Sus scrofa: one gene and its partners. The protein of the gene in region 4 interacts with the protein of the main gene of each other region in a pairwise test. Links are inferred from orthologs where the notes say so. Each region holds a gene or a part of one and is shown on either strand. Other genes may lie near its edges.

The links.
Region 1: the proteins of DTX3 (region 4) and UBE2D1 interact in binary tests that used the Homo sapiens proteins (3 or more experiments, as listed by UniProt). The link is inferred for Sus scrofa from reciprocal best matches to the Homo sapiens genes DTX3 and UBE2D1.
Region 2: the proteins of DTX3 (region 4) and UBE2L6 interact in binary tests that used the Homo sapiens proteins (3 or more experiments, as listed by UniProt). The link is inferred for Sus scrofa from reciprocal best matches to the Homo sapiens genes DTX3 and UBE2L6.
Region 3: the proteins of DTX3 (region 4) and USP2 interact in binary tests that used the Homo sapiens proteins (3 or more experiments, as listed by UniProt). The link is inferred for Sus scrofa from reciprocal best matches to the Homo sapiens genes DTX3 and USP2.
Region 5: the proteins of DTX3 (region 4) and UBE2K interact in binary tests that used the Homo sapiens proteins (3 or more experiments, as listed by UniProt). The link is inferred for Sus scrofa from reciprocal best matches to the Homo sapiens genes DTX3 and UBE2K.

The regions. Positions count from the first base shown.
Region 1 is NC_010456.5:92,301,178-92,306,974, reverse strand, and holds part of UBE2D1 (UB2D1), read left to right. Parts: intron 1-857; coding exon 858-935; intron 936-2,105; coding exon 2,106-2,211; intron 2,212-5,797.
Region 2 is NC_010444.4:13,362,506-13,367,231, reverse strand, and holds part of UBE2L6 (ubiquitin/ISG15-conjugating enzyme E2 L6), read right to left. Parts: intron 1,091-4,726; coding exon 904-1,090; intron 1-903. UniProt on the Homo sapiens protein: Catalyzes the covalent attachment of ubiquitin or ISG15 to other proteins. Functions in the E6/E6-AP-induced ubiquitination of p53/TP53. Promotes ubiquitination and subsequent proteasomal degradation of FLT3.
Region 3 is NC_010451.4:46,586,852-46,593,217, forward strand, and holds the start of USP2 (ubiquitin carboxyl-terminal hydrolase 2), read right to left. Parts: upstream 3,504-6,366; 5' UTR 3,374-3,503; exon of another isoform or gene 3,370-3,373; intron 1,363-3,369; exon of another isoform or gene 1,243-1,362; intron 1-1,242. UniProt on the Homo sapiens protein: Hydrolase that deubiquitinates polyubiquitinated target proteins such as MDM2, MDM4 and CCND1. Isoform 1 and isoform 4 possess both ubiquitin-specific peptidase and isopeptidase activities.
Region 4 is NC_010447.5:22,864,870-22,871,337, reverse strand, and holds the start of DTX3 (probable E3 ubiquitin-protein ligase DTX3), read right to left. Parts: upstream 3,648-6,468; 5' UTR 3,468-3,647; intron 3,034-3,467; exon of another isoform or gene 2,973-3,033; 5' UTR 1,381-2,972; intron 1,287-1,380; 5' UTR 1,237-1,286; coding exon 1,208-1,236; intron 859-1,207; coding exon of another isoform or gene 840-858; coding exon 110-839; intron 1-109. Other genes in the region: PIP4K2C (phosphatidylinositol 5-phosphate 4-kinase type-2 gamma), read right to left, coding at 6,104-6,184, 6,361-6,464. UniProt on the Homo sapiens protein: Regulator of Notch signaling, a signaling pathway involved in cell-cell communications that regulates a broad spectrum of cell-fate determinations.
Region 5 is NC_010450.4:30,885,273-30,891,752, reverse strand, and holds the start of UBE2K (ubiquitin-conjugating enzyme E2 K), read right to left. Parts: upstream 3,760-6,480; coding exon 3,697-3,759; intron 1-3,696. UniProt on the Homo sapiens protein: Accepts ubiquitin from the E1 complex and catalyzes its covalent attachment to other proteins. In vitro, in the presence or in the absence of BRCA1-BARD1 E3 ubiquitin-protein ligase complex, catalyzes the synthesis of 'Lys-48'-linked polyubiquitin chains.

The DNA of each region.
Region 1 (5,797 bases), on a different chromosome or scaffold from region 4:
ACTGATTCCTAATTTTATAATTCTATGAAATTGAATTTATCTAATTTTGTTTGGGGCTTATTTGCATTTTCCATGTTATTTTATAAACTAAGTGAAGATTTGAGGTCTAAATTATATCACAGTGTCACTTAGCCTTTTCTTTTATAATTTGGTTGTTTCAGTTCATCTCCATTCGTACCCCTTAAAGGACCATCAGGACTTTAGTTTTGTAATTAAGGAGGTTAAATACTAGCCCCAGCCATTTTTTCTATATTGATTACTGCTGCCAAAAATTATTCTTTTCTCACAGCAGGCTTGTGTCTATACTGATCTTTAAAAATTTATATTCATAAACAGATTTGTTTGGGTAAGTCACACCACCATGTGTCCTATTTTTGTTTTGTTTTGAACTACAACGTCAGCATAATTGTTGGAAAATTCTCCTTCAGTCCTGCAAAGAAAAACCTGTTTTCAAGTTTAAATGATTTGAACTTATGACAAAGTGGCTTTTTTTTTTTTTTTTTTTGTCTTTTCTCTATTTCTTTGGGCCGCTTCCACAGCATATGGAGGTTCCCAGGCTAAGGATCTAATTGGAGCTGTAGCTGCCAGCCTATGCCAGAGCCACAGCAACGCGGGATCTGAGCCGCATCTGCAACCTACACCACAGCTCAGGGCAACACCGGATCGTTGACCCACTGAGCAAGAGCAGGGACTGAACCCGCAACCTCATGGTTCCTAGTCGGATTCATTAACCACTGCGCCATGACGGGAACTCCTGGCATTTTTTTTTTTTAATGATATATTTTGGGGAAATCATTTTAGGTTACTACTAATAAATATAGTAATCAAACACTGATGCAATTATTTTGTAATTTCAGCCTGATAGCGCATATCAAGGTGGAGTCTTCTTTCTCACTGTACATTTCCCGACAGACTATCCTTTTAAACCACCAAAGGTATCTTTATTTTTATGGTTCATGTGACAACTCTGTCAGGGGTTTTACTCTATCCAATATTTTCATGATGTCAAAAGACCATGGGTAGGCTGGCATGTTCAATCTTTTCTATAAAACCACTGAATCTAAATTATGCTTTCTTACTCAAATATTGTATTATGTCTGTACACAGGAGGCAGTGTCTCTTAGGCAGTAAATTAGCTTCCCTACCTGTCTTTCTCTCCTCATTAGATATATGTAGTACAGGGGGGTTTTATGGTTAAGAATTAGACTTTCCATTCAAGGGGTTATCTATCCTAGGTTGGCCCTTCCTTCTCAGTTTTTAAGCACTCAGTAAACATTTGCTGAACACCTACCATGTTCTGTTGCATTGGGGAATATAAAAACTAAATGTGACACAGTCCCTTTAGTGTGGTAGGTGGGATTAAAAGCACGTTCTTATTAAAGTTAGATCAAAAGAGGAAACAAATGATGGGAGTATATCAGTGCGGGAGGAAATCATTAACAAATTCTGTCACTCAAGAAATAATTATTTTAGATTTTTAAAAACCCCTGAATAGGGAGTTCCTCTCTGGCTCCTCAGGTTGAGGACCTCCTGTTTTTGCTGCTGCAGCTCAGGTTGCTACTGTAGTGTGGGTTTGATCCGTGAATCAGGAGCTTCTGTGTGCTGTAGGCATGACCAAAGAAAACATTGTATATGAAGTGATATAACAGCTCTTGTGGAAGATTAGAATTCTTGGTGAATTTCTTAGGACAGGTTATAAGCCGAGGCCCCTCAACTTTCTTCTGGAATAGGGTCAGCATCCTATTTTTAGATCCAGGTGTCCCTTTGTTAATCAAATTAAGAAAAGTCTTGCTTTGAGGGATGGTTAATTACCTCAGGTGCTGCCGAACCAGTCATACTAACCATTGTAGACTTATTTATCACACTTTCCAAAATAATTCTTAATTCCTTGGGGTGGGGAGAGCAGGAGACTGATTATTTGCTTTCACATTATCAATAGCTAAAGCTTTGCGAGTATAAAGTAGATGCTCATCCAGTTTGTGTTGAATGCATTTCTCCAGTAAGATCACATAAAATTGAGGACATTTTACCCTGGGGCAAATTAATTGTTTGGTTTCATAGTTCATGGGTTGTCACAGTTTTGTTTTGTTATGTTTTATGCCTAGATTGCTTTCACAACAAAAATTTACCATCCAAACATAAACAGTAATGGAAGTATTTGTCTCGATATCCTGAGGTCACAGTGGTCACCGGCTCTGACTGTATCAAAAGGTAATTTCCTTTATCAGATTTATAGTTGTTGGTAACAGTGAGACAGGAAAAATACAGCAGAGGTATCTCAGAGACAAAAGTTTAAAAAAACCAATTTACTGTGTTTTCTTCTGCTTTGATACTGCTTTGTTTTCCTATCTTTTATATTACTCTTGCTTGAGGAGTTGATGGGCAAATCTAAATGATGAAATGTCAGAAATTTAAATGTTAGAGCTAGGAATTTGGGGATAAGCCAGTTGACCTTTTACTCCTTTAGTTTGGGCTTTATCTTTAAAAAGAGAGAGACAGAGACACGCAAACACACACATAGCAATACAAATGAGATTTGGGGGGAGTTCCCATCATGGCGCAGCAGAAACAAGTCCAACTAGTTTTCGCGTTCGATCCCTGGCTTCACGAAGTGGGTTAAGGATCCGGAGTTGCTGTGAGCTGTGGTGTAGGTCACAGACGTGGCTCGGATCTGGCCTTGTGGTGGCTGCGGCATAGGCTGACAGCAACAGCTCTGATTGGACCCCTAGCCTGGGAACCTCCATGTGCCATGGGTACGGCCCTAAAAAGACAAAAATAATAATAATAATAAGATTTTGGGACCAGTTGTCCTACCCATTAGATGGAATTATTTATTGACGTAATGAGTAAAGCTTTACATCTAATTCACTTCATCTAAGAAGAAATGTCAGACTAGGCAGATAAAATAAATGCTTTTAAAAGAGAGACATATTTACCACTTTAGAATAATGTAGCACATGTGGCATGTTAGTCTAAACTTCAAATAATCTATAGCATCCTTGTAAGGACTGATACATAATCCATGGAGATTCTCAACTTTCGCAAATGTATATAGCACTGTTCTTTAATAAATTATGAGATGTATGTATAGGGCATCTGAAGCTGTTTTGTTTCATTAGCCAATGCTGTTTGCTTTGCCAGCCTCTTAATTTTGTCATGGTTCTCCAACAGAAGAGAACTTGAATTACTATTTTGAGTTAGAAGCATCTGCCCCTAAAAGCAGGAGTTCCCGTCATGGCGCAGTGGTTAACGAATCCGACTAGGAACCATGAGGTTGCGGGTTCGGTCCCTGCCCTTGCTCAGTGGGTTAATGATCCGGCATTGCCGTGAGCTGTGGTGTAGATTGCAGATGCAGTTCGGATCCTGTGTTGCTGTGGCTCTGGCGTAGGCCAGTGGCTACAGCTCCGATTCGACCCCTAGCCTGGGAACCTCCATATGCCGCGGGAGCGGCCCAAGAAATAGCAACAACAACAACAACAAAAGGACAAAAAAAAAAAAAAAAAAGACCAAAAAAAATAAAAATAAAAAAAAAATAAATAAAAGCAACTTGGTAGTTTGCTTTTTATAAAATTTAAGAAAACTGTTTCTCTTGAAGGATTCAGGAGAGGAATCCATGGTCATTTAATTTTTTTTTTTTCTGCTTTTTAGGGCTGCACCTGAGGCATATGAAGGTTCTCAGACTAGGGATCTAATCGGAGCTATAGCTGCCAGCCACAGCCACAGCCACAGCAATGCCTGATCCAAGCCACGTCTGCAACCTACACCACAGCTCACGGCAACACCAGATCCTTAACCCACTGAGCAAGGCCAGGGATCAAACCTGTTTTCCCTTGTATCCCAGTCAGATTTGTTAACTGCTGAACCACGACGGGAATGCCTAGAAAATTTTTTTAATAAATGTTGTCTGAATATGTAATGAGGTCTTTTGTGATTTTTCTTGGTGTGCCCACAGCATGTGGAAGTTCCCAGGCCAGGGATTGAACCCACACCACAACAGTGACAACACCAGATCCTTAACCCTCTGAGCCACCAGGGAACTCCTATAACTTGTTTTTTAAATGCTAAAGGAGTTCCCTGGGGCTCAGTGGGTTAAGGAGCCAGTATTGTCACTGCTGTGGCGCACGTTCAGTCCCTGGCCTGGGAGCTTCCTCATGCCTTAGGTACACCCAAAAAAAAAAAAAATTCATGTGGATTCTAGTGTCCTTTTAAAAATCTTTCACATTGGAGTTCCCGTTGTGGCTCAGTGGTTAACGAATCCAACTAGGAACCATGAGGTTGTGGATTCAATCCCTGCCCTTGCTCAGTGGGTTAAGGATCCGGTGTTGCCTTGAGCTGTGGTGTAGGTTGCGGATGCAGCTCGGATCCCGCGTTGCTGTGGCTCTGGCGTAGGCCGGTGGCTACAGCTCTGATTAGACCCCTAGCCTGGGAACCTCCATGTGTTGCGGGAAGCAGCCCTAGAAAAGGCAAAAAGACAAAAAAAAATTAAAAATTAAAATAAAATTAAAATCTTTCACATAATAGGCGTTCCCGTCATGGAGCAGCAGAAATGGATTTGACTAGGAACCATGAGGTTGCTGGTTCGATCCCTGGCCTCGCTCAGTTGGTTAAGTATCCAGCGTTGCCCTGAGCTTTGGTGTAGGTCCAAAGACTTGGCTCGGGTCCCATGCTGCTGTGGCTGTGGTGTAGGCCAGCAGCTGTAGCTCTGAGATCCCTGGGCTGGGAACCTCCATATGCCTCAGGTGCAGCCCTGAAAAGCAAAAAAAAAAAAAAAAAAAGAGTAAAAATCTTTCACGTAATAAAACTGTTACACACTAGATAAAGGAAAGATACTGTGTCATAGGGTTATTCAAATTAATATACTCTTTCCTGCAGTAGTGTCACAAAATGGAATTTATTTGGCGTATGCAGCTAAACACTTACCTATAAAGAGCAAACTACTAGATGTTGAACACTTACCTTCTGACGTTGGTAGCTCTTGATAGAAAATAATTAGTTATTGTTGGCTTCTGGAAACTGTTCTTTAAGAACAACTTCAAAGAGCCTGAATTTCCTCATGTGTCAAATGGGAATTTTTTTTTTTTTTTTCCCTTTTTAGGGCTGCACCCGTGGCATATGGAGGTTCCCAGGCTAGGGGTCTAATCAGAGTTGTAGCCTCTGGCCTACGCCACAGCCACAGCAGTGCTGGATCCAAGCCACGTCTTCCACCTACACCACAGCTCAGGGCAACACCGGATCCTTAACCCACTGAGCGAGGCCAGGGATTGAACCAGCAACCTCATGGTTCCTAGCTGGACTCGTTTCTGCTGCGCCACGACAGGAACTCCTCAAATGGGAATTATAATACTAACACTACATATGGTCCCAGCAACTAGTGCATAGTAAGCACTCAAATGAATGTTAACTGTTGTTACCTTGGAGTTCCCATTGTGGCTGATCAGGTTACAAACCCGACTAGTATCCATGAGGATATGGGTTCAATCCCTGGCCCTGCTCTGTGGGTTGAGGATCTGACGTTGCTGTGGCTGTGGTGTAGCCCAGGAAGATGCAACTCTGATTGGACCCCTAGCTGAGAACTTCCATATGCTGCAGATGGGGCCCTAAAACTATCACCTTTTCCCTTATCTTAAAGCATTGGATTTGTGTGCATAATAATGAAATCAGGCACAGTACTCTTGGCAGTAGGAGTGGGAAGATGAGGAACTTCCCTTTTGCTTACTTTATAAGGTAGCTTATACTTTTCCTTATTTGTAAATTTTTCACTTTTTAGTATTTTAAATCTTATTTTGCTTTTTATCAT
Region 2 (4,726 bases), on a different chromosome or scaffold from region 4:
ACGGGGAAGTTCCTAGGCCCGGGACTGAACCTGCCCCACAGCAGCAACCGGAGCCACAGCAGTGACAATGCCAGATCCTTAACCCACGGAGCCACCAGTGAACGCCACTGAAAGTGAATTTTTAAAAAATGACATTTGTGGGGTTCTCTTCTGGTTCAGTAGGTTAAGAATCTGGTGTTTTCACTGCAGCAGTTTTGGCTGCTGCCGTGGCTCGGGTTTAGTCCTTGGCCTAGGAACTTCCATATGCTGCAAATGCAGCAAAAAAAAAAAAAAAAAAAAAAGCATGCAAAGCTCTCAGCACAGTGCCAAAAATGTTTAATTAAGTCATGTGTATTAGCATTATTAGGCCAATCCCCTCAGCTGTCATGTAGGGCACTGAACCCTGGAAATAACAGAGACTACACCAAGGTCCCTGGGTGGCCTTACTTATCCCAAGCCCTACCTGCTACAGCCCAGCTCCTTCCCTCAGCAACACTGCTCTGCGCACCTGCCCAGGTATGAGAACAGAGTCAGGAGCAGGTCAGCCAGCTCAGGATCTCAGAATGCATCCCTGCTTTCTGACAACAGGCTCAGCTGAGATGCACAAATTTTTTTTTTTTTTTTTTGTCTTTTTACAGCCGTGCCTACAACATATAGAGGTTCCCAGGCTAGGGATCTGATCAGAGCTACAGCTGCCAGTCTACGCCACAGCCACAGCCACACCGGATCCTTAACCCACTGAGCAAGGCCAGAGATCAAACCTGAGTCCTCCTGGATACTAGTTGGGTTCGTTAACCACTGAGCCACGATGGGAACGCCTAGACTCACAATTTTTATCTCCTCCCTTCTGGGCTATTCTAACTCAAAAGCGGTCCTCTGACCCCATCCAGCATGGGTCCCTTCCTCTGGCAGGGCCCAGCCCACCTTGGCAGGTCTTGGTGCAGGGCTTCCAGTTCTCGTTGCTGATGATGGGCAGACACACCTGGCCTTCGCTGTCCACGTTGGGGTGGTAGATCCTAGTTGTAAACGTCACCGTCGGGGGCTTGAATGGGTACTCCTCCGGGAAGCTGATGCGAAGGTTGAAGGCCCTGAGGTTGTAGGGCGGTTTCTCCTGGGCAAGAGAAGGGCCACTCTGAAAAGCTCATTTTCCTCCTAGGCCCTTGGTCTGGGTTCCCCCTCTCCCTGCCCCCCACCCTAGGGTCCCAGGCATCCTCTGCTCCACTCCGAGGAAGACCCATAAACAGGGACACCCATGGCACCTGTATTCACCTGGCAACTGAGCTGTGGATTCATGAAAGAGTGGAGTCCCAAAAGGACACGGGGCCTGGCAGTCCCAAGAGCTAGACCCAGGCTTTTGCGGTGCAACCAACAACCAGCTGCCTCTCATCAGTCCTCTGATAGGTCCCGTCCAGTTTTTCCGATCTTTTGTTGGCATGGTTAACGATCTGCGTGCCGTGCTATGGTAGTTCAGACGCGGTCGATCCGCGTTGCTGTGTCTGCGTAGCGTTACAGCTCGATTGACCTACTGAACTCATATGAGCAAAAAAACAACAACAAAAAAAAAAAAAAAAAAAAAAAAAAAAAAAAAAAAAAAAATAGTCAAGTTTGGTTAGATGAGCCCTAAAGACCATCTCAGCTTCTTTTTATTATATTGATAATTATACTAATTTTTATTATATATCATTTATATATATATCACTTATAAATTTATATCTACACTTTTCCAGATTTATTGAAATATAACTGCCATATATCACTAAGTTTAAGTTCCCGTTGTGGCTCAGTGGAAATGAAGCTGACTGGTATCCACGAGGATGCAGGTTTGATCCAGTGGTTAAAGGATCCAACATTGCTGTGAGCTGTGGTGTAGGTCTCAGACTCGGCACAGATCCTGTGTTGCTGTGGCTGTGTTGTAAGTTGGCAGCAGTAGCTCCAATTCGACCCCTAGCCTGGGAACTTCCATATGCCTCAGGTGTGGCCCTAAAAAGCCAAAATAACAATAATAATAAGGTGTACAGCATGATGGTTTGATTTAAATACATTGTGCTTCTTAGGGCCACACTCACAGCATATGGAGGTTCCCAGGCTAGGGGCTGAATTGGAGCTACAGCTGCTGGCCTATGCCACAGCCACAGAAATGCAAGATCCAGGCTGCGTCTGCAACCTACAACACAGCTCATGGCAACACCGGATCCCAGACTCACTGAGCAAGGCCAGGGATCGAACCTGCATCCTCATGGATACTAGTCAGATTTGTTTCCGCTGCACCACAATGAGAACTAAATATACTGTGAAATGACGACCACAGTAGGTTCAGCTGACATCCTCCTTCTCATATAGATAATAATAAAAAAAAAAAGAAAAAGAAAAAAGAAAAAATTTTTTCTCCTTGTGATGAGAGCACTTAGGATTTATTCTCAACAATTTTCCTGCCTATCACACTGTGGTGTTAGCTGTAGTCATGTTATACAATACATCCCAAGTCATTATCTACAACTGCAAGTTTGTACCTTTTGTCTGCCTTCATCCAATTTTCCCTTCCCCCACCCTCCACCTCTGGCAACCACAGGTCTGATCTCTTTTCCTATGAGTTTTGTTTTTAGGTTTCTCATATAAGTAAGATCACACAATATTTATCTTTCTCTGTCTGACTTATTTCACTTAGCATAATGCCTTTAAGTCCATTCATGTTGCTGCAAACAGTCAACTCAGCTTTAACATCTGAGAATTATGGAAGAGAAGGATGGACATTTTTCCTTTTTTTAATGCCTGCACCCGTGGCATATGGAAGTTCCTGGGCCAGGGGTCCAATCAGAGCTGCAGCTGCTGGCCTGCACCACAGCCAGAGCAATGCCAGATCCAAGCCCTATGTGCAGCTCGTGGCAAACCTGGATACTTAACCCACTGAGGGAGGCCAGGGATCGAACCTGCGTCCCCAAGGGTACTAGTCAAGCTCTTAACCCACTGAGCTACAATGGGAACACGGATAGACACTTTCTCTTAGGGAGCTCTTAGCAAGTACAGGAGAATGTCATTGCTGGGTGCTTGGAAAAGGAGAAAATAAGGAAATCAAAAGAAGTCAGGGGCTTAGGAAAGAAATTCTGCAGCCACTGTGGAAAACGATATGGCGGTTCCTCAAAAAATTAAACAGAATTACCATATGATCAAGCACTTCTACTTCGTAGTATCTATTCAGAAAAACTCAAAGCAGAGACTCGAACGGGTATTTGTACACCCAGGTTCATAGCTGGGTGGGTCACAGCAGCATAAGACTGAAACAACCCAAACATCCATCAACAGATGAATATATTAATCGCATGTGGCATATCCATGCAATGGAGTATTACTCCACCTTAAAAAGGTAGGACAGGAGTTCCCGTCGTGGCGCAGTGGTTAACAAATCCAACTAGGAACCATGAGGTTGCGGGTTCGATCCCTGACCTTGCCCAGTGGGTTAAGGATCCAGCATTGCCATGAGCTGGTGTGTAAGTCACAGACGCAGCTTGGATCTGGCATTGCTGTGGAGTAGGCTGGCACCTATAGCTCCAATTCAGCCCCTTGCCTGGGAATCTCCATATGCCATGGGTGCAACCCTTAAAAAAAAAAAAAAAAAAAAAAAAAAAAGCAAGGACATTCTGATAAATGCTGCAGCACAAATAAATTCTGAAGACCTTATGCTACGTGAAGAAAGCTAGACAAAAAAAAAAAAAAAAGAACAGGAGTTCATGTCATGGCTCAGTAGTTAACAAATCTGATTAGTAACCGTGAGGTTGCAGGTTTGATCCCTGGCCTTACTCAGTGGGTTAAGGATCCGGCATTGCCGTGAACTGTGGTGTAGGCCGCAGACACGGCTAGGATCCCGCGTTGCTGTGGCTCTGGTGTAGGCCGGCAGCTACAGCTCCGATTAGACCCCTAGCCTGGGAACCTCCATATGCCGCACCAGTGCGGCCCTAGAAAAGACAGAAAAACAAACAAACAAAAAAAAAAACAAAAACCCAAATATTGTATGATTCCATTTATTTAAGGTACCTAGAATAGTCAAATTCATTGACATAAAACAGAAAATTAGTTACCTAGTGCTGGAGGGAGGGAGGAATGGAGAGTTAGTGTTTAATGGACACAGGGTTCTGGTTCTGGAGATGGATGGTGCTGATGGTTGCACAACAATGTGCATGTACTTAGTGTCACTGAACCAAAAACATAAAAATAGTTTAGGTGGTAATACTGTTATGTCTATTTTACTGAGGTTAAAAAAAAAAAAAAAAAAGAGGGGCTCCCATTGTGGCTCAGCGGAAATGAATCCAACTAGTATCCATGAAGATGCAGGTTTGATCCCTGGCTTCCCTCAGTGAGTTAAGGATCTGGTGTTGCTGTGAGCTATAGTGTAGGTTGCAGACACGGCTCAGACCCCGAGTTGCTGTGGCTGTGGTGCAGACCAGCAGCTGTAGCTCCGATTTGACCCCTAGCCTGGGAACTTCCACATGCTGTGGGTGCAGCCCTAAAAAGCAAAAATAAATAAATAAAATAAATACCATTTCTGTATAAAAAAAAGAAAGAAAGAAATCAGAGCTGGTGTGACCAAGGATTGCCAGGTGCCAGCAGAAGACACACTAGACTTCTAGCAACCTGAAGATTTTCCTGGGCACCTACTCTGTGCCACCCTGTGCCAAGGGCTGGACACACATTAGCCCATGCTGCACAGTGTAGGGGTTATATAGACTTTGGAGCCACCCTGCTTAAGTGTGAA
Region 3 (6,366 bases), on a different chromosome or scaffold from region 4:
CTGTTGCTCACGTGAAGGGCTCCCTAACCTGCCCAGCCAGGAGAGGGACTTGCTCCCCAGGAATCCCAGGCACTCCTGGCCCCCAGGGTAGAGAATGGGTGATGTCCCACATCCCAGCAGCCTTCAAGGCCCCTCTCTGAGCCCCAATCCGTTCTCCTTTCTGGGGTGAAGGCAGGCCGGCTTCTGTGGCTTTGCCACTGCCTGACTAGAAAGCCCCTAGTCGGATTTCAGAGGTATGCCTCAACAGGGTCAGTCCCTTCCCTCCTGCCCAGATGTCTGGGACAGGTGAGTGGGGAATCCCAGCCAGTCCCGACAGGTGCTTGGGAACCTCCACAGGGGTGACCTCAGAGCTTCCCAAAGCCGCTTGCTAATAACATCGGAATGAGGCCCTGCTGATGGCTGACCTTGAAGGGTAAAGTGGGCTGAGAGAGGGGCCCTGTCTCCCTTCCTCGACACTTTCCAAGCCGCACACACTCCTGGCTGCTGGGACACTGCCTCGACAAGTGGCAACTCCTGGGACGAGGGCTGTCCTGGCAGAAGTGGAGGATACACGGAGTGAGGGCTGGGGTGGGCTGGGGTGGTGGATATTTTGCTCTCACCGTCCAGGAGTTCTGTTTACTCCTCAGGCCCCTAGGAGTCCCAGCCTGTCTCCTTCCCTCTGGCCTGTCACTCACAGTTCTATCTCTCAGGGGCTGGCACCCAGTGACCCACCAGTTGCAGATGCCTTGGAAGGGGGTCATCCAAGGGGATTGGGGCCCCTCTCAGTCTCTCTCAATCCCAGTAGTTGCCCAAGGGATCGGAGGGGGCAAAGAGGTTAGATAAAGAGACCAGAGATTAGAGCCAGAATCCTGCCTGGAGAAGAGCTGGGTGGGCTGAGGGTGGCGTCTCTAGAGGGCGCTTCTTGATTTGGGGTTGGGAGGGGGTGGGCATTGCTACACTTCCAAGAAAAGGCAAAGATATAGGCCCCCAGGCAATACTGGAGTCCTCAGGTCTTCTTTTCCAACCACCTCCCTCTGGGTGCCCCCACCCCACAGGAGAGCCCCAGGCTCCCTCTCTCCTCTAGGGCTTCCTCTCCTCTTCCTGGTCTCTGAGCCTTTGGTCTTGCTCATAGCACCTACCAGGCCAGGTGGGGCAGCCTCTCACATGCTCCCCCAAACAGACAGGGCTCCCCCAAACAGACAGTCCAGGGCCCTCTGGACAACAGCCCTGTGAAGTTTGGATAGCAAAGGGACAGCTACTGACCTGTGTCCAGGGACACGGGATGGGATCTGGGGGCTTCTCCTTCCCCAGCAGGGCAGGGAGTGCAGTGGCGAGCCCAGAGGCAGGAGTCTGACTTGGGGCCGGGTAATCCGGAGCTCAGGTTACTGACTCCGATATATATAGTATCTTATCTGACCTCACGGAGATGGCTAGCTCCACTCACTGGCATTCCAAGCCTGGGCAGAATTAAAGGGGCAGTGGCAGGCCCTCCCTTGAGGTGGGCCCGTGCCAGGCAAGATCCTACAAGACTGTTTGAAGGGAGGGATTTTGAAATGGGACAGAAGGGGGATTCAAGGGGAAATAGAACTGGAAAGATGGTAGAGGGATGGGGGTGGAATGGAGGCAAAAATATGGAGAAGGAGGTGCCAGTCACAAAACTGGAGGAGAGGAAGAAGCCTCAGTGCTTGTCTGCCTGCTTTACTCTTGAGATGGAAGAGCCCTAGAGGCAGACAGCAGCGTGCTCAAGGGCACACGGATACAAAGGCAGGTGAGACCTCCTCAGGTTCCCAGGCCATTCTCATTTATAATGGACTTCTAAGCCTGGGCTTGTATTCTTTCTTTCCCTTTTATTGGCTCTAAGTCGGTGGGCAAGTCCCTTAAGCCCTCTGAACCTTATTTAGTCTGTAAAATGGGAATAATAATAATAATAATGTTATACCTCACAGGTGTGAGGATTAAATAATATTTGTAAATTTCCTGGCACCTAGTAAGAGCTCAATAAATGGTAATTATTACTATATTGAATACTTCCACTTATAATTAGAGGTAGTTTTTGTAGTAGCACCCTCGGGGGAACCTGGCTAGGGAGAAAAGGGCCTCCAGGCTACCCCGCGGGAGTGCTGTTCTAATGCCATGGTTTTCTGAGCAGGTCTGTGTCCCATAAGTGGCAAGGCAAACGAGGCTTGCCCCATTCCCAGATGTCCAGTCCACCCACCGGCAAAAGGCCGGGCCCTCTTGGGCTCCTTCCTCCTTTGCCTAGAAAAATACAGCAAGTGCAGCTTCCCCGGGGCTCCCGGGAGCAAGCCCAGCTGCTCTGGGGCAGTTCCACTCTACCTGTAGGAGTGCTCAGGATCCCGGAGCCCAAGGAGTGGGGCTGGCTGGGCAGGGTCACAGGAGGAAGGAGCAGGATTCTTAACCTCTCGGCTCTTGGTGCTCTGGTCTGCTCCCAGTCTGTCTGGCCTGTTTCTCGATGGCTCTCCCTGAGGACTGGGAGTACCCAAGATGGGGCCTCCACCCTGTCTCAGCAGAGGCTACTGACTCAGCTCCGGTCCTGATGATGCACTTCAGAGGACGCCCTTGTCCCCGGCCCTCATTCCAGTCCTCATTCCGACCCCGGCTTGACATTATCTACAGCATCAGAGAAGGGGTGGCTGATCCAACCCCAGCTCAACCAGCTCTCCTTTTCCTTGGGTTCTCATTGGGGGACCTTCTCATGCCTGTGCCTGGGGAGGCGAGCAGCAGCAGGATCTCCAACTCGGCCCCATTCGAAGAGCAGCCAGGTCAGGAGGTAGATGCTCACTCCTTAGAGGACAACTAGAATGGATTGGCCAGGGCTCCCTTTGGCTGTTAAATATAAGTTACTAGCCTTAGAGCACCGCGTGCCTGCTTCTGGTTTGGGATTGGTGAAGATTTCAAAGATGCCTCTTTCTGGTTTGGGATTGGTGGAAAATCTCCCCTTCCACTTAAATGCTACCCTCCCCCCACCCCACCCCCTTTGGCAAACCGACCAGAGACAGCCCCCAGGAGCTTTGACAGAGGGAGTAAATGAGCTGCTCGCACACGTGGGGAAAGGATTGTCAGTGTCCAGGCGTCACTCTCAGCCACATCCCACCCAGGGCTCAGAGACCTGGACCTGCCCAAGCAGCGTTTCCGTAGAACACACTGATTAGCGCACAGATGGCTCTTCCTGGCACCCTGGGCTGTCAGCTGGTGCCCCCCCTCCCCCCTACAACTGGTACCCACAGCTGGAGATCTTCAGCGCAGCTGGAACTCGCCCTACATTTCTAGTGCCCATTCTGCCCAGCCTGTCGTTGGCACCTCACTTTCTGAGCCTCAAACAACACTGCCCTCCGCATCACCCCTCCCCAGTATCCGACAGGTGGCAGGTACCTGCCTCTTCTCCGAGGATGGACGAGTCGAGCCGGGCACAAGCATGGAGCTGCGGGTGAGTCCTGACTGGTACTGGAGCGGCGCAGTGAGCAGCAGCTGACGCAGAGGGCTCCCTGGTCTCCGCTCCAGCCCGCCTCTCCCCCACCTCCGCCGGGGGCCCAGAGAGGACCTCCCCGGGAAATCGGCGCCACCCAGCGGGCAGCTGCCTCATTGCGCCGGGGCCGTCAAAGTCACACCCCGCGTTTCGCGTCACTGAGACGCATCACGGCTATTGGCTTTTTGCTATTGTGGCGTCATTAGACTCCGCCCGGCCAGGGTCTCCCAGGCGACCGATATATACAGAGAGCCACGTGAAGGAAAGGTGAGTTTGGAGGCGGGGTGGAGCACAACGAGAAGGGTCCCAATGCGGCAAGAATGTGGCACGACGGGAGAGGTGTAAGGTACTGGGAAAGAGGAAGCGTCTTGGGGGGAAGGGTCAGAAGTTGAGTCCCAGGGCATATATAGCAGCTTTTAGTATTTAGGGAAGGCTAAATGTTCCTCTCCTTCCCACCCGACCAGGAGCGGACCTGTTTTTTTGCCTCTTCTCTTTTTTCTCTACTCTTTAAGACTCTCCACTCAGTAACAGGAGACCAGTGATTAGTGATGACCCCTTGACTGGGTGAACGGAGGCACTGAGTCAATGGAAGGATTCTCTTTTGTCTTTTCAGAAAAAGCCGAAAGGAAATTTGAATTTTTGCCGCTCCTTTTCTTTGTGTATAACCTTTCTCTACTTACACTGCGGTGGTGAAGAAAACCGCATAGCCATGTAGATTGGTGCCGGGGCAAGTCCAGGTTTTCAATTTCACCTGGACCATCAATCCTTTCGTGCCCTTAGCTGCTTCTCTTGTTCTTATGCAAGGCTGGTATTTCTGCCCATCATCACTCTGAAGTCCCTTCTTGTCTTCTCTTTCCCAGAGAAACTAGAAGCAATCAGGAGGAAAACACTTAAAGTTCTTCCTACAAATATATCCAAATCCAGTGTTCCCTCTGCTCCAAGAGCAGTGAAAGAAGTGTCCCGCTTCTTGTCCAGGACAAATCCCTTCTGGATTTCAACTCTTTAATTGTTCCTTAGTGTTACCTGAAAACTGGGTTCACCTCTTGGTGGGCTTCAAGCCAAAAGACACAACCAAGCCAAAGATTGGAAGAAGGTAAAATTTATTACTTGTAGCAAGTAAGAAGAACACCGGGGCAGGGTGTGTGTGTGTGTGTGTGTGTGTGCGCGCGCGCGCGTGTGCACGGCGGTGTCTTTCCCCAAGCAGTGTATCCTGGAACAGCAAAATTGGGGAAGTTTAAAGCTAAGGGTGCATGCATATTCATGAAGGGCCTTGAGCCAAAGAGAATTCACAATAGAATTGAGGCAAAGGTTGCCAGAATCCAAGCTTTAGTTGACTGAAGTCAATGAGGGTCAGCAAAGGTCAACATCATTCCTTAGTTTCAGACCAGGGTCTCAGCTGGTAGTTACATAGTTACCATCCTCCATGGGGGGGGGGCTTAGTTCTAGCAGAACTTAAAAAGATTTACATCAGATTGTTATGTATATCCCTTGAGGAGGAGCTAAGACTTCTATTGAACTGAAGTGTCTACAAAGACAAAAAAAGAAAAAAAAACAAAACAAAAATCTTACCTTTTCTACCAACTTTCCCTTTGATGTATAAGTCTCCCAGTTCTTCCCTTTAAACAAATGAAAATCTTGAACTTAGGTTTTTGCTTTCTCCTCTTGATAGTTTTCTTGGAGGAGTTGTACGTCCTGTGTCTCCCCACCTCCCTGTGGGAAGTCTCCTACCCCCCAGACATCAGGAAACCTCCCTCACCCAGTCAGCACCATCTGCCGTCTGTTCAGTCCAATGGGCCTTTCTAGTCCTAGTCAATTACTTGACCTCTTACAAACTCCATACCTGCACCCATTTCCTCCTTGCAGTCCTCTCCTCCTTCAGATTTTGTGGTAATGCTTTTCTTCCCCCCACCCTCCATCTCCTTTTCCTCTGGTGCTTTTGTGTAGCTTAAAGCACAGTGGTTGTTATACGTGCAGATTGTAGAGTTCCTGGGATAACTTCTGATTTCTCTGATTACCAACTGTGAGGCCTGAAACTTTTTTTTTTTGTCTTTTTAGGGCCGCACCCTCGTCATATGGAGGTTCCCAGGCTAGGGGTTGAATTGGAGCTGTAGCTGCCAGCCTACACCACAGCCACAGCAATGTGGGATTTGAGCTGCTGCATCTGCGACCTACACCACAGCTCACAGCAACACCGGATCCTTAACCCACTGGATGCTAGTCAGAGCCGCTTTGGTTCTCTTTCTTTTATTCCCCTCAGGGTCCCTTCTCTCTGTCGCCATTGCTTCTGTCTTAGTTCAGAGTGTCATTCTTATACTTCTTATTGTTTGGCAATTTTCCTCCCAACCCTGAGGATCAAGTTGCTGGAAAAGTAGGAGGTTTTACGGTTGAAGACCTTTGATAAAAAATAAGATTAGGAAGACTGAGTGACCTGTTAAATGCCTGATCAATATTTTATCTTCACTAAAATCAACACGAACATTTAGCATGTGCAGTAAAGAAAATATCAATAACATCTTACAGATCTGAAGTTAGCAGGAGTACATGTATTATATTTCTATTTATCACTCCTGGGTAATTTTACCTTTTTAGGATTTCCCAGCAGTTTCAACAAGAGGGTGGTAAATCCAGTTCTTTTGGATGCAGATGGATTCAGTGAGGGGTTCACATGCCAGGTACCTTCTGCTGGCATGGGATGCTGGTTACTATGGCCCCCTCTGGTCTTCTGGCTGACTCTGGGGAACCCTCTATAAAGGGTGCCAGCCCAAGATTTTGACACCTTAGTAAAGAGAAACAGGAAAAACCATCCTTTAAAAGTTGCAAGTTTTTAGCCTCTAGGGAGGGAGAGACTTCAGTTCCCTTGGGGGCTGACTCATGCTTTGCTTCGGGAAAATCATTCCAAAGGG
Region 4 (6,468 bases):
CAGACTGTATCACATCTAACAAACACAGTCACCCTTATCTAGTTTTCCTCAGGAAGAAAACAAGCGTGGGGGAAAACCAAAGGGCAAGGGCAGGCCACAGTCTTCTTACCCCCTGGACACCGGGCGGGAAGACGTACTGGATGACGATGGTGCCGTACTTCTCATAGCTGGGTAGCAGGAGTGTGGCGTCCTTAGAGACCAGCATCCGCCCATTCTGGGGCTGGTTGCCCACCAGCTGCCCATAGAAGCGGCCACACATGGGGCAGGCCTTTTTCACCTGCAGGGCCCGGGTGATGCAGCCCTCGCAGAATGAGTGCCGGCACTTCTCCAATGTCTTGGCATTCTGGATCTCCCCCAAACAGATGGGGCAGGTGCTCTCCTGCTCTTCCGGCTCCTCCCGAAGGCGAGGAGGAAGAGGAGGGGGCAGGGGAGGAGGAGGCGGGGGGAGCCCCCGGGCCCCCGGGGGCAGGAGTGGGGCTGCCCGGAGAGGGGGTGGGCCTGGGCGGTGCAGCTCAGGGTGCTCCCCTCCACCCCCCAAAGCCAGGCAGCCCATAAGCTCCCCCTGCCTCTGAGCTTTCTTCAGCTCTTTCTCTGCCTCCTTCAGCAGCCCCTTGAGAGCCTTGCGGGCCAGGTAGAGCCCATTGGGAGGGGCTGGGGGAGGGCCCTGAGGGGAAAGCTGGAGCACATAGATGTCAGAGGTCTCGCCGTCTATGAGAATGGACACACGGTGCTCCTCCCGAAGCCGGGCCAGCCGGGCTGGGGTCTCCTTGCTCAGGAAGTCCCACACAGGCTTGGAGACAGTCACTTTGTTCTTGCAGGTGCCTCCACAGGCTGCCATTCTGGACAGGACGAACGACACTGCCCCCAGGGTGAAAGGGACTCAGGGTGGGGGGTTCCCATTTGATAAATATCGGGGCCTATTTCCTACTCCTACTTCACGTTCCTTTCCACCCCTCCGCTGTCTCAGAGTCCAACTCCCCTCCTCCCCCAAGTTCATTTTCTGTTTCCTCTTATCTTTTAAACTCCAGCACCCACTGAAGAGCAAGAAAGCATCTATAATTTTACTATTACCATCTATGCCAAGCATCAGTCTTGGTTCTCCTCCCCTCCTCCCCAGATCTCAGAAACAACCCGCCCCTCCCGCCTCCAGGTGAAAACTGGGTTCCGTAAAAGGAAGGGAGACTTTTTGACCCTCCTTTTTGCTCACTTTGATCCTGAAGAGCTTAGAATTGGCATGCAGGCTCGCTCGCTCTCTGTCCCTGCTCCCTACTTGTAGGTTGTGTGACCTGGTAGGTGGAAAGGGAAAGGAGGGAAAGTGAGACACCCCTGCCTCCATTCCCACGTGCCCCAACCCAGCAGCCCACGTAACAGAGACAGGACCTAGGTGTACGTTACTGGGAACAGGATTTCTTGGAACACGGCATGGAGGAAACCAATTTAAAGCTGAAAGCTGAGGTTCTCATGGAAGTCAGATACCTGGAAAGCCCATGGACGATGATAGCAGCAGAAATCCGTTTCCACAGTCAGCTGATCGGGACTGGGAGGGGGTGGGGTGAGGTAAAGGGTTAGGATGACAAATGTTAGCTTTTCCCCAGTCTGCCCAGAAACAAAACCAAAACTCTTCTTTCATTTCCTCTCCTCTGCCCCTGCAGAATTCTATCCCCAGCCTCTCCCCAAGTCGCTAAAGAAGGAACTTCCACGTGCTAACTTTCCTCTTTTCTTCCCCAGCTGTGGGTCTCTTAAGAAAGCCTAGGGGCACAGATAAGAGAAGTCAGGAAGGGAAAAGTCCACACACAGGCCTTTTTTTGCCATCTCCCTCAGACCCCATTTACAAGGGTATTTCCTTTTCTCCCCAGCTCCACACCCTGCTCCACATGCCCAAATAATTCAGTCCCTATTGCCAGGGAGCCTTCCTTGAGAGCCTACCCCATCCCTTCTGCTGAAGTCTGTTTGGAATTTGAACACAGTGGCAGCAGGCCCTGCAATTACAAAGTTCTCACTGTCGCCGTTTAAACCCAGCACCCGAAGTCCAAACCTGCGGCAACCTAGGCTGCATTCAGGAAGGGGTGGGGCTCATGCAGGGCACGGGCTGGAGGAGCCTGATGTTTCCCCTGAGTCTGGCCGCGTTCAGCTACAGAGCTGTCCCTACAACACCTCCAGATGCAGCCCAAGTAGAAAGAAGAGCTGTTAGTGTGACCTCAATTCTCTGACTGATCCAAAGGGGAGCAGCTCTCTGTTTGTGCCTTTATCATAGTCCCCTGAAGGCCAGATGCACCTCAAGATTCAGAAAGTGCAACTGGAACCCCAGAGCCTCGGTTCATACTGTCTCTCCAGGTGGAACACCCCCTCCCCATCAGAGGGAAGCCGGGACCTAGGTGTCCTTTGCTAGGAGTCCTGCTGGCACAGAAAAGGGAGGCGGGGCCTCAGTTTAGGCTGGGTCTCTGATTCCTCTGGGGCAACCCAGGCCGGACACGGGGCCAGTCCCTCCCCTGAGACAGAGAGCAGCGACAGGGGCAGCCAGGAAGGGCCAGGGTCCCTTGGGGGCATCAACTGAGGCATCTCCACCCCTCCCCCCACAACCTCTGCAAGACCCAACCCGGAACCAGCTCCCCCAATCCCCCTCTCTTAAGAGCCCCCGAAGCCCCACCACTGGGGGTGGGTGCATGTCTGCCCGACCGTGGGCCCCTGAACCCCCAAATGGAGGCCAAGGCTGGAGGATGACAGAAAGAAGATCGGCCGGGCCTAGAGGGAGGGGGCCCCCCGGCGCCGCGCGCGGGGGAAGGAGGCGGAGGAGGGGGCGCAGGGGGATCGGGAGGGCGCGCGGGGGGTGCGAGTAGGGTCCGGGGGGCGCGCGGTGGGTGTGGGGGCCGCCGGGCTCACCTACCTCTCGTCAGCGCCGCCATTGCCGGTCACATGACTGAGGCTGTTGCTGGGATGACGGTCTGGGCCTTAGCAACAAGGGGGGGGAGACCCTGAGAAGGTGGGGGGGGGAGTTTGCAGGGGTGCAGACTGAGGAAAGGGAAGGAGAGAGGATGGCACCCCCTTCCCCTTCACAGGTGACAATCACGTTTCCTTTGACCCCATCTATCCACAAGCCGCTGCCCTTCCGCGCCAAAACAAAAATGGAGGCTCCGTACAAGTCTTTGGAGGGAGAGGGTGGTGTCGCGGAACCGAGGGTAGGAGGTTAAATCCCTTAGAGACGCCACCCTTCTCGCTCCCCGCTCCCGGGAGGGGCCCCCTCCCTATTCTTTCCCAGCCAGCTGCGTGGCAGCTCCTGGGAGCTGGTGGGGGGTGGGTGGTTGAGGAGCGTCTCTTTAGGTAGATGGGGAAGGGGAGCAATTTTTCTGTGATCTTTTCTTCTAGGGGGCCTTTGAGGAATATGGAAGAGAGGAGTCATAATAAAAAGCACTGGTTCTAAAAAATAAACCCGTGACTAAATCGTTTCAATCCCCTCCCTCATCTCTCACCTTTTTCTAGATTGTTACCTTCTGTGACTCCGCAAAACTTGCCCCCAGGTGGGTATCTGTGAGTGCCCCTGATTTTTCTCTTTCCGCTATCACGCGTACTGAAACCCGTGCAGAATGAGAAGCGAATGTTTTTTACAGAATACCTTAGAGTGATGGTGGTGTCAAGTCTACGGGTGAAATAGAGTTAAAAGCTCTCAAGGAAAAAAAAAACCTCCTCTCTTCTGCTTCCCACATCAGAGCAATCTCCGCCCCCAGTCCAACGCAATTCCCTGGGGCCACATCAAGCCAGGTTTTTCCACCAGCCAAAGACCTCCTGGGCCAAGCAGTACTGGATGGATCTCCCAGACTGTCAATGACCTCTTCATCCACTCTCTTTTCTTTACTCCCCGTCCAGGCTGGAAGGTTGGTCGCTTTCTTCTTTACTTTCCCAGGACCCTACTGTACTCTTCCTGCCCTCCAGATGGAGAACATCTTTCCCAGGAAGCCTGAGGGAACACCAAATTCCTTCTCTTTTAGCTCATGTGTGTGTCAGTGGTGCTGATAGGCTCACTCACCTTTAGAGAGATGGGAGTGTGATCTCACCCTGGGGAGGGAGGGTCACATCATCTCAGCTGTCCTGGGCACACCTATAGCTAAACTCCTACAAAACTGGGGAATGTTTTCCAGTCCCACGCACATCCCCTTCCACCTTTCAAGTTCACAGCACCTATCTTGAAACCTACATTCTTAGGGGCCCAATGCCTTGGAGACCAGTATTCTTCATCTGGTCCCTGCACCCTAAGTACAGGCTTCCAAAAAAGGGAAAGGGTGGGGGGGAAGAGACATTTCTGTGAAGGAATTTGGATTCAATAATTTATTTTCTATATAGTGACAGCAATGGGAGTAAATACATAAGATCTTTTTTTTATTAATTAATAAAACAAAAAGAGATGAAAAACAGAAGCAACAAATGAAAAAGACCATAATGCTTATGACACATCAGCCACATGGTCAGGAAACCCATTTCTAAAGAACAACAGTTGCTGGTGTCATGGAGTTTTATTGCATTCAACAGGGGAAGGGTAGATGGTTGAAATGAAAAAGATCCATCAGGCTCCTGACAGGAAGATATTATAGGGGCTCCAATCCTTAACTGGGGACTCCTCTTGTACTTCCTTTGGAGAGGATGGAGGGGCAGGAGAAATTCTCCTTTATGACCTCATGACTTCTTGTGAGACAGATCAGTCCAGCCAGATAGAACAAAGAGTCTTTGCATCCCCAAGGCCACTTGCTGGTGCCCATCTTTATGTCTCAGAGAAATGCAGACGCCTCAGGGCGAATGCAGGATGCAAAAAGAATGGCCGCCTTAGCCCCAAAGGAACTGGGGGGAAGGGAGGACAATCTCTCAACTCATCAGGGTCTGCTACATTCTGAGAATATCACACATCAACTCAGCTATCTTTGGAGGGGGCTGGGTGATTGAGTTATGGGTCTGACTCCTCTCTGGGGGTGGAGTGAAGATGACAAAGAAGGCCATCTGTCCCCTGGGAGACACAGTAGCAGTATAAGACAGGACAGGAAAAAACAGAATAACAAATCCAACTGGGAAAAGGACTTGAGAAAGGGTGGGGGAAGTATCCTAGGGGCACACTTCCAGGGAATAGAGGAGGTTTCCACACATGAGACATCCATTCTCTTGAAATGACCAGGGTTGACCCAGGTAAAGATACTCCCTTCTGCTGGGACTAAAACCTCAGGAATTGGCTAGGCATGAAAAAAGGAAATTTAGCAATGGGTCACCCCTGGCCCATCCTCCCAGCCTCTAGAATTGGCCATACCCTCAATGAAGGGTTCCAGCCCCAGGAGGGGTGTGAGGTCCTGAAGAACAGCAACAGTTAAACACTTTTACCCAGGATTCAACACTGTGGCCATCTTTGGGGGGGGCGGGTGAGGTGAGGGAAGAGACTGGAGAGCAGTCAACCCTTGACAGAGTCCTTCTCCAACTCCCTGCATAATCACAAGAGTCCTCATCGGTCCCACCTCCATGAGGTACCAGCCTGCTGACCATTTTCCACCCCACCTGTGTAAGACTGGCCATATCCCATCACATGTGTGCATGCCTGCACCCATATCTGTAGTATCTTGAGATGCTTCCATCCCAGGGTCTACCAGGGAGCAAACATGCTACAATGAGTTCTATAAAGTTATCAGCAAAATTCAGACACTCTGCGTTCATCCCACAGAGCAAAGTGCATCCAGAGGAGTCGCTTGAGCCAGATCCATCTGTCCAGTCGGGTCCTGAAGATGGCAAACAACCCCCTTCCCCCAGCTCCTCCTATGTTGTGGAAACAACAGGACATTTTACAAAGATCAAGGCACTTGGGAGAGAGTCGACAGTAACATGCTAATGAAGCAAGCAGGCGTGTTGGAGGGAGAGGGAGAGGGAAAGAAGGAGAGAGAGGACAATGTAACTCTGAGGGCCAGGAAGAGCCTACTCAACAAGATGGAATTATTTGGGTGGAAGGAGCCTGTAGCCTGAAGTTAGCCAAGGAGGAAGAGAAGAAGTGGGGGCCAGAGTATGCACAATTGCCCCAAGCCTCTCAGAACCCCACCACCTGGAACACACAGCAGCAGTCACCATGGAGTCTGGCAGTCTCTTAGGCAAAGATGTTGGTAATAAAATCCAGGAATCGCTTAGCATACTGCTCAGGATGGACAGTAGAGATCTCTGCCCCTGCCTGTGAGAGGAGGTAGGGAATGTGGTCTCAGCGCCCCCTTCCCCATTCCCCGCCCTCCACACCACTCCAGACCATTTCCACCCCCAACCCTTCATCCTTCTGCCACCCCACCACTCTGGCACGAGAGGCTCTTGAATAGTCAAGAAAGGAAAGAAAAGGCTGTAGGGAACCCTTACCCCATGCTTAACGGTTTTGGCTGCGTGAGCTGCCTTCTTCTTGGCATCATACTGCGTCAGGATGTCGATGAGGCCCATGAAGTACACCTCCTTCTGGGGGGCTCCTGG
Region 5 (6,480 bases), on a different chromosome or scaffold from region 4:
TAAGGGTGTTTTACTTCACTGAGCCTTTTTTTTTTTTTGGTCTTTTTAGAGCTGCACCCACGGCATATGGAGGTTCCCAGGCTAGGGGTCGAACTGGAATTGGAACTGTAGTCACTGGCCTATGTCACGGCCATGGCAACACAAGATCTGAGCCATGTCTGTGACCTATACCAGAGCTCACAGCAATGCTGGATCCTTAACCCACTGAGAGAAGCCAGGGACTGAAGATGTATCCTTACGGATACTAGTCAGTCAGATTCGCTTCCGCTGAGCCACGAAGGGAACGCCTATTTCACTGAGCTTTGAATTTAAAAATATTTGGGGGTTTGTTTTAATGGCCGCACCCGTGGCATAGGAAGTTCCCAAGCCAGGAACTGAATTGGAGCTGCAACTGCAACCTATGCCACAGCTGCAGCAATGCTAGATCCTTTAACCCACTGTGCCACAACAGGAACTCTTAAAAGTATTTTGCATATTGAAATGCAAGCAAAATTTTAATTACACGTAACATTTATTTTAATGCTTAAACTAACAAGTTAGGTTGTGTTTAAATCCTTTAATCAGTAATACAAATCAGGCTCCAGTTTTTTCGGTCGTTTTAGTCCCATACCTGAAGCATATGGAAGTTCCCAGGCTAGGGGTCAAATGAGAGCTACAGTTACCGGCCTACATCACAGCCACAGCAACACCAGATCAGAGCCTGGGATCCTACACCACAGCTGATGGCAATGCCAGATCCTTAACCCACTGAGCGAGGCCAAGGATCGAACCTGCATCTTCAGGGATGCTCGTCAGATTCGGTTCTGATGAGCCACAAAAGGAACTCCAGGATCTTTTTTTTTTTTTTTTTTGGCCACACCTGTGGCATGCAGAAGTTCCTGGGCCAGGGACTGAACCCATGCCACAGCAGCAATCCAGCCACTGCAGTGACAATGCTGGATCCTTAACCTGCTGAGCCACAGAGGAACTCCTAAGAGGGATCTTCTGATGCCAGTTGCCCGGGACACCCAAGTCCCCCACCCAGAAGCAATCAACACTACCAATTTCTCATTAATCCTTTCACCTATACAAACAAATACACGTATCTCCCCAGAAATGGTGGCCTCCTCCCACTATTCTGCACTGTGCTTTTCACACTGATCTGGGAGGCTATATTTTAACAACACACTCCAAGAATGGCCACTTACAACTTCTTAGAGCCAGAATTCAGCAAATGTCAGTTATCTTTTCACAAAGGCACTTAAAAAGGCGCGGGGTTGGAGAGGAGTCCTTAAACCATTCCTAGTAAGCACAACCATATGAAATAAACTTTAGTAAAATGAAGATTTACATAGGTGACATGAGGAAATACTTGACTATCTGACAAGCCATTCAAATATTGCCTTTACATACATTAAAAAAGAAATACATGGACTGTATTATAAGTTCTTCAATGAGTTGAAAATAATATAATCCAATTATAGAACTGGGCTTATTAAAATATCAATGAAATAAAATATTGGTGAAAATAAAACTATTTATTGGTTATATTCCAAAATTAAATTACCTGACCCTTTTCTAAATGTTCTTTGCAACTTACTTTCTGGAAGATGTTTCCTTTCAGATTTATAAAGGCACTCTTGTTAAAAAAATAAAATGTTTGTATTTTCTACTTTCTTCCTCTGAAACACTTACTTGACAGCAAGATTTCATCATCCCTTACATGTAATTTTAACAATATGCATTACTAAAGCAATACAAGATTTCTTTTAAGCTTCAATTTAAGTACTAAGAATATTGTGAAAAGTCACCTCACAATATGCAATCAGATCATATGAATTACGAGAACAGTACTTACCACTTTTAAGTAACAGAAAATAAAGCGTTAAAATCTTATATTTCAGGCTTGTACAACCATATTAGAGAAATGTTTTAGGCTACTAGCAATATTACCCGCAATCTTCTATTAGGAATATATATGTCAACTATCCTGGAATATATTTTCTTATTAAACAAGAATTTAGAATCATTGTTTCATTGTATTGTCAGTACAAGCATTTATGACTCTATTTCTACAATGTACCACAAAAATACAAAGTCATCCTTCCATTCAGAGTTTTGGCACCTGAACAAATACAGAGGTCAGAGTTCATACACATGCTCGGTAAAACCAATTATTACTCACATAACTATTACATTCAATAAATCTGCTGGTGTTTGGCATTTTTTAGTAATTTTAAAGAATTTTCTGCAAGTCTAATTGGAAAGACTCGGTGGCACAAATATAGTTCAAGTGCTATCAGACTTATATCCAGAATTCATCACATACTTAGAATGCTAAATTTCACAAATCACTGAGCTCGTCAAAGTATTGATATAAGAGAAAAACACATATAGTAATGATACTTTCAATAATGGTGTGTGATATTTTGAAAATAACCATTCAATATGCTCAATCTTTCTTTGTTGAATCCAACAAGGAAAAACAACCTAGCATTCTCGTTGATTTGGGTATGAAAAATTACACTGATTCATAATTGAGTCAAATTACTAAATTACTAAAACATTTAAAACATATTAATAAATGTGGCCAACACTAGAGTGTTCTACAGGACTCAAGAGGAGCTTGAGACAAAAAAACTTTTTAATCCTTTCAGATAGATGTTGGGATAAGGAGATATAACAATGTATTTATTAATCTGCTGAAATGTCATGTTTAATAAGGAGATATAACAATGTATTAATCTGCTGAAACCTCATGTTTTTTTTAATAGCACTGTTTTTCAATAGTAAGAATCAAGTTAACTATGAGGGACATCATAATGAAGTTTCATGGCACAACACAGCAGTGTCACAGAGGCAATGTCTTAAAACAGACTCTGATCTGTAACTTGTAAACATTTTAAAATAAGCTACTCATACACTCCATTATATGTCCTAATCCCAGCTATAAATATTTAAATGTCTTTAACACACCAAACAACCTGCCTTTACCTAGTCAAAAAGCTTTAGGTGCCTACAAAAAAGAGGCCTAGGATTTGGGGGTAAGTGGAAATGAGATAATTCTCTAACATGGAATTAATTTCCTATCTCAAGTGGCAATGCCCTTATCCCCCACTTAAACAATATAGACAGTACCCCATTATGTCTTGCTCTCTCTTCCAACACCCAACTAAAAGGGAGTAACTCTGAACGGCCTTCTTTCATCAATACCTAGGAACTCTCATCGCTCCTTCCCTAAGGAAAGGACAGCGGCGGCCAGATCGGCTACAACCCAGAATACCCTTAAAAGTGAGGGCCTTTGAGCAGCGCAGCTCTCGGGATCCAGTTACCACCTTTCCCCTTCCCCCAACCTACTTCCCGGGTTTTCTCAGGCTCGGCCTGCTCACTCCCCACCCTACAACCACACTTCCAGCTGTTGCCACTATCTAGGGGCTCTTTCAAGAGCTCACACCCCGCGTCTAAGCGCCCCCTTCTCCATCTGCCCCCCCCAATCTGATTCCTCTCCAGATCACCCGCCCGCGAGACCGTCCATCCCAGGGCCCTGGAAGGGGAGGGGAAGGCGGCGGAAGGAGGGGGAGACTGCTGCTTCCCCACAGGCAGAAGGGCGGCCGCAAAGAGGGCCACTCGGGCGTTACTAGGGATATTGGGGACGCCAGTGGAAGGACCCTCCCGCCATGGGCTGAGGTGGGGGACGTTCGGGAGTTCATTTCTGACCTCCTCGCTCTTCAGCACCTCCTTGAACTCCCGCTTGATTCGCTGCACCGCGATGTTGGCCATGTCTCCGCCCGCAGCTGATTCGTACCCGCCTCCTCCGCCACCGCTACGACCACCGCCACCGCCGCCACCTCTTCCTCCACCGCCTCCTCCCTCGGCGATTCACACCAGAGCACACGAACGCTGCCACTGCCACTCCGGCCGCCGCGCTCTCCTCAGTGTGGAATCACCTCCGCGCCCGGCCACCAAAATGGCGCCAGGTCCGCGCCTGCGCACGACGCTGACCTGACCGGGCGGCGCAGCCGCTCCCGTTGTAGCCCCATACGCCTCAGCTGCGAACCCGCGCCGCGCCGCCCCGCGCCGCGCGTCTCTGCCCGAGCTGCGGCCGCGTGGCTCCGCCCTGCCGGCGTCTGAGGCCTGGAGGGTGCGGCTTCCGCGCTGGTCAGCGCTGCCCCGGCCTCCTCGGTCCTCTCAGGCGTCTCTGCCCCTCTTCGAACCAGGTGTATGGTCCAGGCTTCCAGACCGTGGCCTGTAACCGAAGGTTCGAGTCCAGCCTGACGGGTTCACGCGGCTCCACTCGGTTTGGAGCGCCGCCCTGACTCAGCCAGACCCAGAACCCACAGGCTTAGTGTGCCTGCCTGTGTTTAGTGTCTGAAAACACTGTCCTGGAATTCAGTCTGGCCTATTTTTTCTTGGTGTAGGCCCGGCAAATGCACTGAGGTTCATTTTTGTTATGAAGCTCTTACGGTGCTGCTATTACTACGATCATTCCAGGATCTTAACAGGTACAACAAATTATAAAGTTAAGTATGGGTCTCATCAATTTTATTTGAGACCAGTACTCCATGGAATTTAGAAGCCAGGTGTTGATCTTTGACCTGCTTAGGTAATTAATACCAAGCCCTGGAACTAAAACCATAGTTTTGGAACTCGAATGTACATTAGGATCCCTGAATAACTTGTTAAAAAATAAAAAGAAAACGGATTGCTGGGCCCCATTCCTAGAGTATAGGGTGGGCCTAATAATTTGCATTTGTAACAAGTTCCCAGATGCAGCTGCTCCTGCCGCTGCTTCTGGAGCCACACAGTGGGAACCACTGAACATGTGAAAATAGTTTATATATTAAAGTGAAAAATGGAGTAGTAGATGTTTCTTGGGCGAGAAGGGCAGCTTTACTTACTTAAACCTAGGATCTACAACTGTGCCTGGTGCCTATTAAGGCCCTTAATAAATATTGAATGAATAAATGAGTAACGATAAGACTAAAATGTTTTAAATGGAAAGTAAATTTGAAAGCGGTTGCTAAAGTTTCCAATAAGTAATATGGTTGTGGATTTGGGGGGGTTTTGAGTGTTTTTTTCTTTTGGCCGAGCCTGCGGCATTTGTAAGTTCCTGGACCAGAGATCGAACCCTCGACATAACTGTGACCCAAGCCGCTGCAGTGACAAGGCCAGACCCTTAACCCACTGCAGCACAAAGGAACTCCTAGGTAATATGGTTTTGATGCTGAGAGGTGCTTTGAATAGAAAACATTTTGTAATAAGTAATTATGTTTATTTAGAAGTTATATTAAAGTCACTTCTTTCACTATGTTTCTAATAGGATACTTTAACCAATCAGTAAAGTATCCTATTAGAAGAATATCACGAAATCACCGTCTCAGCAAAAATTACTGAAATTGTGGCACTGAAAAAGAAAGTAAGCACTTGGAGTGAACCACTCACGGAGGCACTTGGCAAAAATGAACTTATTGAACTACTGCCACGGGAACCAAGAAGGGATTTTTAATTCCAGCTCTCCTCCATTTCAGCTCTCTTGGCCAACCTTGGTTTCCTATTTTGCAGAATAAGGAAGCTGGATAAGATGATCTCTCTCAAGTTTTAAGAGTTCATTATTCTAAAACATCTGGGAAAATTTCCCTGAAGGGACTAACATAAGCTGTAAAACCCTTCCAGCAGAGCCCCCTAGTGGTTCTAAGAGGAACCAACTATACATGTGGGTCGTGGCACAATGAATTACTGGTATAATGAATGCATAAATCGTGCAATGCTATGTGTATTTATGCCGGCACATTAAAAATAATTATTTTGAAGTGTGAAAAATTTTTGAATACCTTATGCTTATCACCTTCATTCAGTCCCCAATGTTAATCTTGGAACTTTAAAGAAATTTACAACACTCAAATCACAAGTGGACTGGTTAGATGGGTATGCTAACTTCTTTGGGGAAGAGATGTTTGATAATTTTTATTTATTTATTTATTTATTTTGGTCTTTTTTGCTATTTCTTTGAGCCACTCCGGGGCATATGGAGGTTCCCAGGCTAGGGGTTGAATCGGAGCTGTAGCCACCGGCCCACGCCAGAGCCACAGCAACACGGGATCCGAGCTGCGTCTGCGACCTACACCACAGCTCACGGCAACGCTGGCTTGTTAACCCACTGAGCAAGGGCAGGGACCGAACCCGCAACCTCATGGTTCCTAGTCGGATTCGTTAACCACTGCGCCACGACGGGAACTCCTGATGATTTTTAAATGCATGTAGTCACTGGCCCTGAAATTCCACTTTCAGTGCATTTTTACATTTTATGAGGCAACCTCATACTGACTGATAGGAGACAATCCTCAAAATACATTTTAAGGGAAAAAGAGCATTGTGCTAAAAGCAATGTGATATCCTGGATTGGACCCTAGAACCAAAAGGACATAACTATTAAAATCTGAATAAATTCTGTAATTTAGTTTATAGTATTGTAGCAATGTTAATTCCTTAGTTTTGACAGGG